Linked DNA regions of Saccharomyces cerevisiae S288C. The protein of the gene in region 1 binds, or shares a complex with, the protein of each later gene. Each region holds a gene or a part of one and is shown in the gene's direction. Other genes may lie near its edges.

Region 1 (4,730 bases):
GTGCATATGCCAATGGCTAAGAAAAAATTACTCTTACAAAGATTATTTTGTCAATTTCTCGAAGAAAACAATGCTACATTTTGAAATAGGATTTTTTAAATCGTGACATGTGCTTTAATAGAAACGTCACTTCAGCTCTGTCATTACATAAGATTTAACATGAGCAAAAGGGCTATTTTGGATACGGTATGTCATTCCTTTCCCCTATTAAATATGAAGAACATATATTCTCAAGTTGATAGAAAATGCAGGAACAATACACAACTATTTACACATTATGCTTTCTCGATTCTCTGAAAATGAACTCCAGTATGGCAATTTGAGCGCAGCTCATTCCGATGATTAATAATATGCCGTAAATAGAAAACATTACAATTCTATGCTCTGTTGAACAAACGGTGTGATGATTTCTGGTGTTTCTGCTTTTATAGTACTGTATATTACGTTCCAAAACGTGGAGCTGCCTTTCTATGGTGTCTATAGAATTTTCCACACTGTCTTGCAAGGGATCGGTTTTAGAGTCTCTCAGGTTTCTCTGCGCCTTTCTCGCCTTGCGTCTTTCATTTCGAATATCATCTTGGCGTTCACAATTGTACTTGAAGTCCAGATCAACAATCTTGTCGTGTGCTTTACCACCATAAAAGCAGATAGCATATTCTCCCTTATGTTGGCCTATAAATGACCATTCACCTTGACGTTCACCAGATCTCTCGATTATTGGCTTGTTTTTGTCATCAGGAGCAAATATTTCGTAGTTAACATCAAAGTCATTGCTCTCTCCTTGCTGTACTGCAAAATAATATGAGATTGTACAGTCAATTTCCGGAGTTAGCGTATATAAGCACTCCTTTCGACCTTTATTCAGTTCAAATGTCAACGGTGATGCCTCAGCAAAAAATTGTGCTAAAAAAAAAAACTGGAAGAAAAGTACACATAAATTGGACATGACGGAGTTTTTTAGTCAGTTCACAGTGTCCCTTCAAGTACGGTAACTATCAAGAGCCTTACCAGTTTCTGTCAAGATATTGTCCCCCCAAATTCTTTCATTGAGGAGAGGATTATGAAGAACGCGTTCTGTTTTAAAGAGAGAAAAATTCAGGTCAGGACGCGTTGGTCTCACCTTTGTTGACATAATGACCATGACAGTGTAGGAAGTCTAAGTAGTATGTGGAAACCTACGCGATCATACTGATACGTTCGTAAACTTTATCAACGAACGACGCTTTTTTTTTAAACCTCTATATAAGCATGTTTTTAGCTTGGGAAATTAAGGTGTAGCCCTGGTTTTGAAGATAATTAAGAATCTAATGGGGCAATGCTTGTGTAGATGACATTTTATAGAGTAAAATTACTTCCCGTTTAGCTCGATAAACGCCTTAGGCCTACATAAATCTTAAACATTTGTCCCCGGTCAGCTTTTAAATTATGTCTTCTTTGCCCTGGGGCGTCTTCTTGAACGGCATCAATTTAGTGAGTAGAAGAGCACTTCACATTTCCGCCTAAAATCAATGCAAGAACCATTAACAAAAAAAACCGCTCAGCAGGCGTAACGGGAAGTAACAGACTACCTTAAATTTTCAATAACAATTGTGCTATTATCTAATTTTCTTAGGAAAGAGGCAGTTTCGAAGTAGAACAATCATAATGACAAGCAAAACGAAGAATATCGATGATATACCTCCAGAAATCAAAGAAGAGATGATACAGCTCTATCATGATCTACCGGGTATAGAAAATGAATATAAACTCATAGACAAGATCGGTGAGGGAACATTTTCGTCAGTGTATAAAGCCAAAGATATCACTGGGAAAATAACAAAAAAATTTGCATCACATTTTTGGAATTATGGTTCGAACTATGTTGCTTTGAAGAAAATATACGTTACCTCGTCACCGCAAAGAATTTATAATGAGCTCAACCTGCTGTACATAATGACGGGATCTTCGAGAGTAGCCCCTCTATGTGATGCAAAAAGGGTGCGAGATCAAGTCATTGCTGTTTTACCGTACTATCCCCACGAGGAGTTCCGAACTTTCTACAGGGATCTACCAATCAAGGGAATCAAGAAGTACATTTGGGAGCTACTAAGAGCATTGAAGTTTGTTCATTCGAAGGGAATTATTCATAGAGACATCAAACCGACAAATTTTTTATTTAATTTGGAATTGGGGCGTGGAGTGCTTGTTGATTTTGGTCTAGCCGAGGCTCAAATGGATTATAAAAGCATGATATCTAGTCAAAACGATTACGACAATTATGCAAATACAAACCATGATGGTGGATATTCAATGAGGAATCACGAACAATTTTGTCCATGCATTATGCGTAATCAATATTCTCCTAACTCACATAACCAAACACCTCCTATGGTCACCATACAAAATGGCAAGGTCGTCCACTTAAACAATGTAAATGGGGTGGATCTGACAAAGGGTTATCCTAAAAATGAAACGCGTAGAATTAAAAGGGCTAATAGAGCAGGGACTCGTGGATTTCGGGCACCAGAAGTGTTAATGAAGTGTGGGGCTCAAAGCACAAAGATTGATATATGGTCCGTAGGTGTTATTCTTTTAAGTCTTTTGGGCAGAAGATTTCCAATGTTCCAAAGTTTAGATGATGCGGATTCTTTGCTAGAGTTATGTACTATTTTTGGTTGGAAAGAATTAAGAAAATGCGCAGCGTTGCATGGATTGGGTTTCGAAGCTAGTGGGCTCATTTGGGATAAACCAAACGGATATTCTAATGGATTGAAGGAATTTGTTTATGATTTGCTTAATAAAGAATGTACCATAGGTACGTTCCCTGAGTACAGTGTTGCTTTTGAAACATTCGGATTTCTACAACAAGAATTACATGACAGGATGTCCATTGAACCTCAATTACCTGACCCCAAGACAAATATGGATGCTGTTGATGCCTATGAGTTGAAAAAGTATCAAGAAGAAATTTGGTCCGATCATTATTGGTGCTTCCAGGTTTTGGAACAATGCTTCGAAATGGATCCTCAAAAGCGTAGTTCAGCAGAAGATTTACTGAAAACCCCGTTTTTCAATGAATTGAATGAAAACACATATTTACTGGATGGCGAGAGTACTGACGAAGATGACGTTGTCAGCTCAAGCGAGGCAGATTTGCTCGATAAGGATGTTCTCCTAATATCTGAATAGCAAAGTGATAAATTACTGCTAGTCTGAAATAATTTCCTTTTCTTTGGAAAGAGAATTTTAAAAGTACTTACATATTTGCATAGTGAAAGATTTAAATAAAAATTTCTTAAAGTGAAACGGTTTAGCATAATTGGTGGCATGCGCTTAAGATAGTGCCAAATACCAAAAGGCACAGGTGCAGACGATACTTAAACAATAGTGCTACTACGCCACTTCGTGAAAGCTAATATCTCTTTACCTTGCATTTGGGCATGTTGCAAACAGGAGGATCAAAATACAAATGGAATCAAGAATGCTCTTCTGGTATGATACTTTTTGTTTTTCTTTTGAGCCCATGCGTACATTTGAGCTGTTGAAACAGTCAAAAATAAAACGGCAAATAAATTGAACTTGAACACAAAAGTAAACCAAATCCAAGACCAAACTTCAAAAGTATAGTTGGGAGCAACAAAAAGATTGAAAATACCTTGATTCAATGGGACACGGATCTTAGCGTTACCATGCTTCTTTTGATAGTCACCCCATAGGCGCAATTTAATGTGGCAATAAAAGTTCCATAGTTCTGAAAGCACGAAAAGACCAATTAATGTACTCAAGTCATCCAATTTCAAATATGAATAGTATTTGAATAACTTAGCATTCCCAAAGGGGAAGCCGTAGCCAAAGTAACCGAATGAAATGAGACCGCTTAGAACCCAGTAATGGAAACAATTTTTGAACAGGTTGAAAATTGGCATAGTAGCTAAAGAGAATTGGTGAACAAATAAGGTTTCAAATAATCTCTTTCCATAATGTCCTAAAATTAAAAAATATGCAACCCTGTTTAAAAATGGATTATAGTCGGAGCTAGCACTGTGCCATCTATCAACAACTGTGGGAATGGTAGATAGATAATAAAAAAGGGAGTGAACCAAGACTGGACCCAAATACTCACAAAAGAAGACTAATCTCCATGAAATTTGGGGACCCAAATCTTTGATGAAGAATTCCATTGAGTCATCAGCCTCTTCTTGAAAAAACGATTCTGAAATAACCGGAACTTGTTTAGATTCCTTTTTGTAGGTTAATCTTATCCTGTACTTGCTGATATTGTGGTTATTAGCAGAGATTTTTTTCAAAACATCATCTAAAGTAGGCTTTTTGGATAAGTCAATTTCAGTGTCCCTTAACCCTTTAGAGCGGCTTTTTATGGTGATAGGCATTTTCAAATTAAATTCAAAATATGTATCTCTCTCAAATAGCTCAATTGGTTTCTAGATAGCTAAATAGAATATAATCTTACTGTCCTCCGTTCTGTAAAATTCACGCTCTTAGTCCCTTTTCATAATTCCTTAACTTTTTGCGTACAAAATGATATGTTTATTATATTTTTCTTTTTTTTTTTTCAAATTTTTTCTTTTTCTTGAAAAATTTTTCAAATTGGAAAGCTCATCTCTCTTGAATGTATAATACTTTCTTCCTCTAACTTTCAAAAAGTTTTACATAGCCAAGAAGTTTTCCTTACATCGGTATACTACTGTTATATAAGTTATTCTTCGAGAAACAATTAGATATCATTCATC
Region 2 (6,342 bases), 140 kb from region 1:
TTGCGTTTGTTATTTCAGTCGAATAGTACTCCTTTATACTCTCTGCCGCTGACATCTTTGTCCTTTACTGTTTAGGACTTATAGCGACTGTTATTTTTTAGTACACCAAACAAGGAAAAAAGAACAATACAACGTAAATATGAGTAGTCGCAAAAGCACCGCTTCTAGCTTACTGTTACGGCAATATAGAGAACTTACTGATCCTAAGAAAGCTATTCCCTCATTTCATATAGAACTAGAGGATGATTCAAATATTTTCACTTGGAACATAGGTGTTATGGTGCTAAATGAGGATTCCATTTATCATGGAGGGTTTTTCAAAGCTCAAATGAGATTTCCGGAAGACTTTCCCTTTTCTCCACCACAGTTTCGATTTACGCCGGCTATCTACCATCCAAACGTTTACAGGGATGGCAGGCTTTGTATTTCTATTTTACATCAAAGTGGGGATCCTATGACCGACGAACCTGATGCTGAAACGTGGTCCCCCGTGCAGACCGTGGAAAGTGTGTTGATCTCTATAGTATCTCTATTAGAGGACCCCAATATCAACTCGCCAGCAAATGTCGATGCCGCTGTTGATTACAGAAAGAACCCTGAACAATACAAGCAAAGAGTCAAAATGGAAGTGGAAAGATCGAAACAAGATATCCCTAAAGGTTTCATAATGCCCACTTCTGAATCGGCGTACATATCTCAAAGTAAACTAGATGAACCAGAATCGAATAAGGATATGGCGGATAATTTTTGGTATGATAGTGATTTGGACGACGATGAGAACGGGTCCGTCATTTTACAAGACGACGACTACGACGATGGAAACAACCATATCCCCTTTGAAGATGATGACGTTTACAACTATAACGACAACGACGACGATGACGAAAGAATCGAATTCGAAGATGATGACGATGATGACGACGATAGTATAGATAACGACAGCGTCATGGATAGGAAACAACCCCACAAGGCTGAAGATGAAAGTGAAGATGTGGAGGATGTAGAAAGAGTTTCAAAGAAAATATAAAAAAGAACAGTAAGAAAGAAGACAAAATTTAACAAAACATATTCAGCTCAAACGCAAAACATGAATCAATTTATACATACGCGATACGTTGTCGATAAAGCACTTTACATTTTTCCCTATGATAATCTGAGATTGACAGGGGAAGAAGAAAATAACTAAGTGTCGAAGAAAAATTTAGAAAAATTAATTCATCATCCCATTTTACTTCTCGCAGTACACCGTACGAAAGAAGAAGGTAAAGAATTGAGAAAAAAAGTGTATATCATTACATTACTTTACACCACCTTATAACCACAAACGTGTATATTAAGAAAGTTTTTTAAAAAGAAAGAAATAAGAAAACCAAATCCGTCCCACTAATAGTTTCTAAGTTACTGTACTTTTTTTTTTTGAATATATATCACCATACATATGTATATAAATATATATTTGTGTGTGTGTGTTTATATCTATATCTCTTTGCATCTAATTCCTCATTACCTTTTTTATTTTTATTTTCTTATCGGTTCTTGGCTAACGCCTAAGTTTCTTTTAATATTTTACCCGCAGTAAGTAAATGGTTTTTTTTTTGCAAACGCGTCTTAGGTCGATCTTTGCGAAAAAGAAAAAAATAAAGAAATAACGATAATAATAACGGTAATGGCTCAGGCCAAGAAAAACAAAAATCAAGTTGCATAGTCTATACTCAGCCAGGTGTAGATTCCTTTAGATCTGAATTCGCTTGCAGGGCTAGTTATCTTCAGAATTCAAGGTTTGAATCTGAAAGGCATTTGGAATTCTGCTTTTGGTTCATATTTAGAAAAGAAAGAAGAAAATGGTTTCTCCAACGAAAATGATAATAAGGTCTCCGTTAAAGGAAACAGATACCAACTTGAAACATAATAATGGAATTGCCGCATCAACAACAGCAGCGGGCCACTTGAATGTGTTTTCTAACGACAATAATTGCAACAATAACAATACCACTGAATCCTTTCCGAAGAAAAGATCTCTTGAGCGCCTCGAGCTCCAACAGCAGCAGCATTTGCATGAAAAGAAAAGGGCCAGAATAGAAAGGGCCAGGTCTATTGAAGGCGCTGTCCAAGTCAGCAAAGGTACGGGTCTGAAAAATGTCGAGCCAAGGGTTACGCCTAAGGAATTGCTGGAATGGCAAACAAATTGGAAAAAGATAATGAAAAGAGATTCTCGCATTTACTTTGACATTACTGATGATGTAGAGATGAATACATATAATAAGTCCAAGATGGACAAACGCAGAGATTTATTGAAAAGAGGGTTTCTTACATTGGGTGCGCAAATAACTCAATTTTTTGACACTACTGTCACAATAGTTATCACAAGAAGGTCTGTTGAGAACATATATTTACTAAAAGATACCGACATTTTATCGAGAGCTAAAAAAAACTACATGAAAGTTTGGAGTTACGAAAAGGCTGCCAGATTTCTGAAAAATCTTGATGTTGATTTGGATCATTTGAGCAAGACTAAATCTGCTTCTTTAGCTGCGCCCACATTGTCCAATCTTCTACACAATGAAAAATTATATGGACCAACGGATAGAGACCCCAGAACTAAAAGAGACGATATTCACTACTTTAAATATCCTCATGTATACCTTTATGACCTATGGCAAACTTGGGCCCCCATAATAACTTTGGAATGGAAACCTCAAGAACTAACAAACTTAGACGAACTACCTTACCCAATATTGAAAATAGGTTCATTCGGAAGATGCCCTTTTATAGGGGATAGGAATTATGACGAAAGTTCTTATAAGCGCGTAGTAAAGAGATACTCGAGAGACAAAGCAAACAAAAAATATGCACTGCAACTTCGTGCTCTATTTCAATATCATGCCGACACCTTACTGAATACGTCATCAGTTAATGATCAAACGAAAAACCTAATATTCATACCTCACACATGCAACGATTCTACCAAGAGCTTCAAAAAATGGATGCAAGAAAAGGCAAAAAATTTTGAGAAGACCGAGTTAAAGAAGACGGATGATAGCGCAGTTCAAGATGTTCGTAATGAACATGCTGACCAAACCGATGAAAAAAATAGTATATTATTAAATGAAACTGAAACCAAAGAGCCTCCGTTGAAAGAAGAAAAAGAAAATAAACAATCTATAGCAGAAGAATCGAATAAGTACCCACAGCGAAAAGAGCTGGCTGCCACACCAAAACTAAACCATCCAGTATTAGCTACTTTTGCAAGGCAAGAAACTGAAGAAGTGCCGGATGATTTGTGCACTTTGAAAACAAAGTCACGTCAGGCATTTGAAATCAAAGCAAGTGGTGCACATCAATCTAATGATGTGGCAACCTCTTTTGGCAATGGTTTGGGCCCAACAAGAGCAAGCGTCATGAGTAAGAACATGAAGTCATTAAGTAGACTAATGGTTGATAGAAAGCTGGGAGTAAAGCAGACAAATGGAAATAACAAAAATTATACAGCCACTATAGCAACTACTGCTGAAACATCAAAGGAAAATAGACACAGATTAGATTTTAATGCTTTGAAAAAAGACGAAGCCCCTTCGAAAGAGACGGGCAAAGATAGTGCTGTACACTTAGAAACTAATAGAAAGCCCCAGAATTTCCCTAAGGTAGCTACCAAATCAGTCTCCGCAGACTCCAAAGTTCATAATGACATCAAGATAACAACCACAGAATCTCCAACAGCATCGAAGAAATCAACTTCCACAAACGTCACCTTACATTTTAACGCACAGACAGCACAGACAGCACAGCCGGTGAAGAAAGAAACGGTAAAAAATTCCGGATACTGTGAAAATTGTCGTGTAAAATACGAATCTTTAGAACAACACATAGTTTCTGAGAAGCATTTGTCTTTCGCTGAAAACGATTTAAATTTTGAGGCTATTGACTCGTTAATTGAAAATCTCAGATTTCAAATATAGGGACACGACGTAAAGTGCAGTAGCTTTTAGTGATAAAATCAAAATAGTATTGTTCCGTTTCCATTGCTGCTCGGAACAAAAAAGCTATCAACGGCAATGTTATTGAATCACTTTCTCATTCACCCTTGTTACTTTCTTGCTATTGACTTAACTCTTATTTACTCGTCCATATATTATCAATTGCATATATATACATATACATATATATATTATCATCTAGATTAATTACCGTTCATATCATAACTCATTCTGAACAAATAATGATCGAGTACCCACCGCGGTTAATGTCCCAGTTTTCATTTTTACCCGATATCCTGCAGAGACCGAGAGGCATGAAAAAAAAAAAGCTAGTTCTCAACTGCATTAATTGCAGCTCGTATTCATGGTTCAACATAAAAGAACTTACGCTACAGCATTCCATTTGAATAACTCAGAGTATTAGTAAAAGAAATGTGTGAAGAGAATGTTCATGTTAGTGAAGATGTTGCTGGCAGTCACGGTTCTTTTACGAATGCCAGACCTAGGTTAATTGTACTAATAAGGCATGGGGAAAGCGAATCAAATAAAAACAAGGAGGTCAATGGTTATATTCCTAACCATCTGATTTCTTTAACGAAAACAGGTCAAATCCAAGCTAGACAAGCTGGTATTGACTTATTACGTGTTTTAAACGTAGACGATCACAACTTGGTGGAGGATTTGGCTAAGAAGTATATTAAAGATGAAAGTAGCAGGAGAACTTTACCGCTGAAGGACTATACCAGGCTGAGTAGAGAAAAAGACACAAACATAGTTTTTTATACATCACCCTATAGAAGAGCAAGGGAAACATTGAAAGGTATTTTGGACGTCATCGATGAATATAATGAATTAAACAGTGGTGTTCGTATATGTGAAGATATGAGATATGATCCACATGGTAAACAGAAACATGCATTTTGGCCGAGAGGACTTAATAATACTGGTGGTGTTTACGAAAATAATGAAGATAATATTTGTGAAGGGAAGCCTGGAAAATGTTATCTGCAATATCGGGTTAAGGATGAGCCAAGAATAAGGGAACAAGATTTTGGTAATTTCCAAAAAATCAATAGCATGCAGGACGTTATGAAGAAGAGATCTACGTATGGTCATTTCTTCTTCAGATTCCCTCATGGAGAAAGTGCGGCAGATGTATATGACAGAGTCGCCAGTTTCCAAGAGACTTTATTCAGGCACTTCCATGATAGGCAAGAGAGAAGACCCAGAGATGTTGTTGTCCTAGTTACACATGGTATTTATTCCAGAGTATTCCTGATGAAATGGTTTAGATGGACATACGAAGAGTTTGAATCGTTTACCAATGTTCCTAACGGGAGCGTAATGGTGATGGAACTGGACGAATCCATCAATAGATACGTCCTGAGGACCGTGCTACCCAAATGGACTGATTGTGAGGGAGACCTAACTACATAGTGTTTAAAGATTACGGATATTTAACTTACTTAGAATAATGCCATTTTTTTGAGTTATAATAATCCTACGTTAGTGTGAGCGGGATTTAAACTGTGAGGACCTTAATACATTCAGACACTTCTGCGGTATCACCCTACTTATTCCCTTCGAGATTATATCTAGGAACCCATCAGGTTGGTGGAAGATTACCCGTTCTAAGACTTTTCAGCTTCCTCTATTGATGTTACACCTGGACACCCCTTTTCTGGCATCCAGTTTTTAATCTTCAGTGGCATGTGAGATTCTCCGAAATTAATTAAAGCAATCACACAATTCTCTCGGATACCACCTCGGTTGAAACTGACAGGTGGTTTGTTACGCATGCTAATGCAAAGGAGCCTATATACCTTTGGCTCGGCTGCTGTAACAGGGAATATAAAGGGCAGCATAATTTAGGAGTTTAGTGAACTTGCAACATTTACTATTTTCCCTTCTTACGTAAATATTTTTCTTTTTAATTCTAAATCAATCTTTTTCAATTTTTTGTTTGTATTCTTTTCTTGCTTAAATCTATAACTACAAAAAACACATACATAAACTAAAAATGGCTAGAACTTTCTTTGTCGGTGGTAACTTTAAATTAAACGGTTCCAAACAATCCATTAAGGAAATTGTTGAAAGATTGAACACTGCTTCTATCCCAGAAAATGTCGAAGTTGTTATCTGTCCTCCAGCTACCTACTTAGACTACTCTGTCTCTTTGGTTAAGAAGCCACAAGTCACTGTCGGTGCTCAAAACGCCTACTTGAAGGCTTCTGGTGCTTTCACCGGTGAAAACTCCGTTGACCAAATCAAGGATGTTGGTGCTAAGTGGGTTATTTTGGGTCACTCCGAAAGAAGATCTTACTTCCACGAAGATGACAAGTTCATTGCTGACAAGACCAAGTTCGCT

The links.
Region 2: the proteins of CDC7 (region 1) and DBF4 are in contact, whole or in part, in a cryo-EM structure (PDB 7PT6), measured with the Saccharomyces cerevisiae proteins. Residues at the interface, in NP_010267.3 of Saccharomyces cerevisiae: Glu32 (codon at 1,738), Thr43 (codon at 1,771), Phe44 (codon at 1,774), Lys56 (codon at 1,810), Val80 (codon at 1,882), Thr81 (codon at 1,885), Ser82 (codon at 1,888), Ser83 (codon at 1,891), Pro84 (codon at 1,894), Arg86 (codon at 1,900), Ile87 (codon at 1,903), Tyr88 (codon at 1,906), Leu91 (codon at 1,915), Asn92 (codon at 1,918), Tyr95 (codon at 1,927), Leu106 (codon at 1,960), Asp108 (codon at 1,966), Ala109 (codon at 1,969), Lys110 (codon at 1,972), Arg111 (codon at 1,975), Arg113 (codon at 1,981), Asp114 (codon at 1,984), Thr130 (codon at 2,032), Phe131 (codon at 2,035), Tyr132 (codon at 2,038), Arg133 (codon at 2,041), Asp134 (codon at 2,044), Leu135 (codon at 2,047), Pro136 (codon at 2,050), Lys138 (codon at 2,056); in NP_010337.3 of Saccharomyces cerevisiae: Asn240 (codon at 2,559), Tyr244 (codon at 2,571), Arg249 (codon at 2,586), Pro251 (codon at 2,592), Arg255 (codon at 2,604), Asp256 (codon at 2,607), Asp257 (codon at 2,610), Ile258 (codon at 2,613), His259 (codon at 2,616), Tyr260 (codon at 2,619), Phe261 (codon at 2,622), Pro264 (codon at 2,631), His265 (codon at 2,634), Val266 (codon at 2,637), Tyr267 (codon at 2,640), Leu268 (codon at 2,643), Tyr269 (codon at 2,646), Asp270 (codon at 2,649), Leu271 (codon at 2,652), Trp272 (codon at 2,655), Gln273 (codon at 2,658), Thr274 (codon at 2,661), Trp275 (codon at 2,664), Ala276 (codon at 2,667), Pro277 (codon at 2,670), Ile278 (codon at 2,673), Ile279 (codon at 2,676), Thr280 (codon at 2,679), Leu281 (codon at 2,682), Trp283 (codon at 2,688).

What each region holds. Positions count from the first base shown.
Region 1 is NC_001136.10:422,565-427,294, forward strand, and holds CDC7 (serine/threonine protein kinase CDC7), read left to right. Parts: upstream 1-1,644; coding exon 1,645-3,168; downstream 3,169-4,730. Other genes in the region: ERP3 (Erp3p), read right to left, coding at 269-946; trans-2-enoyl-CoA reductase (NADPH) TSC13, read right to left, coding at 3,438-4,370. UniProt on the Saccharomyces cerevisiae protein: Serine/threonine-protein kinase. Needed for the initiation of DNA synthesis during mitosis as well as for synaptonemal complex formation and commitment to recombination during meiosis. Required for HTA1-HTB1 locus transcription repression.
Region 2 is NC_001136.10:556,125-562,466, reverse strand, and holds DBF4 (protein serine/threonine kinase activating protein DBF4), read left to right. Parts: upstream 1-1,841; coding exon 1,842-3,956; downstream 3,957-6,342. Other genes in the region: SCF E2 ubiquitin-protein ligase catalytic subunit CDC34, read left to right, coding at 140-1,027; acid phosphatase DET1, read left to right, coding at 4,407-5,411; triose-phosphate isomerase TPI1, read left to right, coding at 5,995-6,342. UniProt on the Saccharomyces cerevisiae protein: Regulatory subunit of the CDC7-DBF4 kinase, also called DBF4-dependent kinase (DDK), which is involved in cell cycle regulation of premitotic and premeiotic chromosome replication and in chromosome segregation.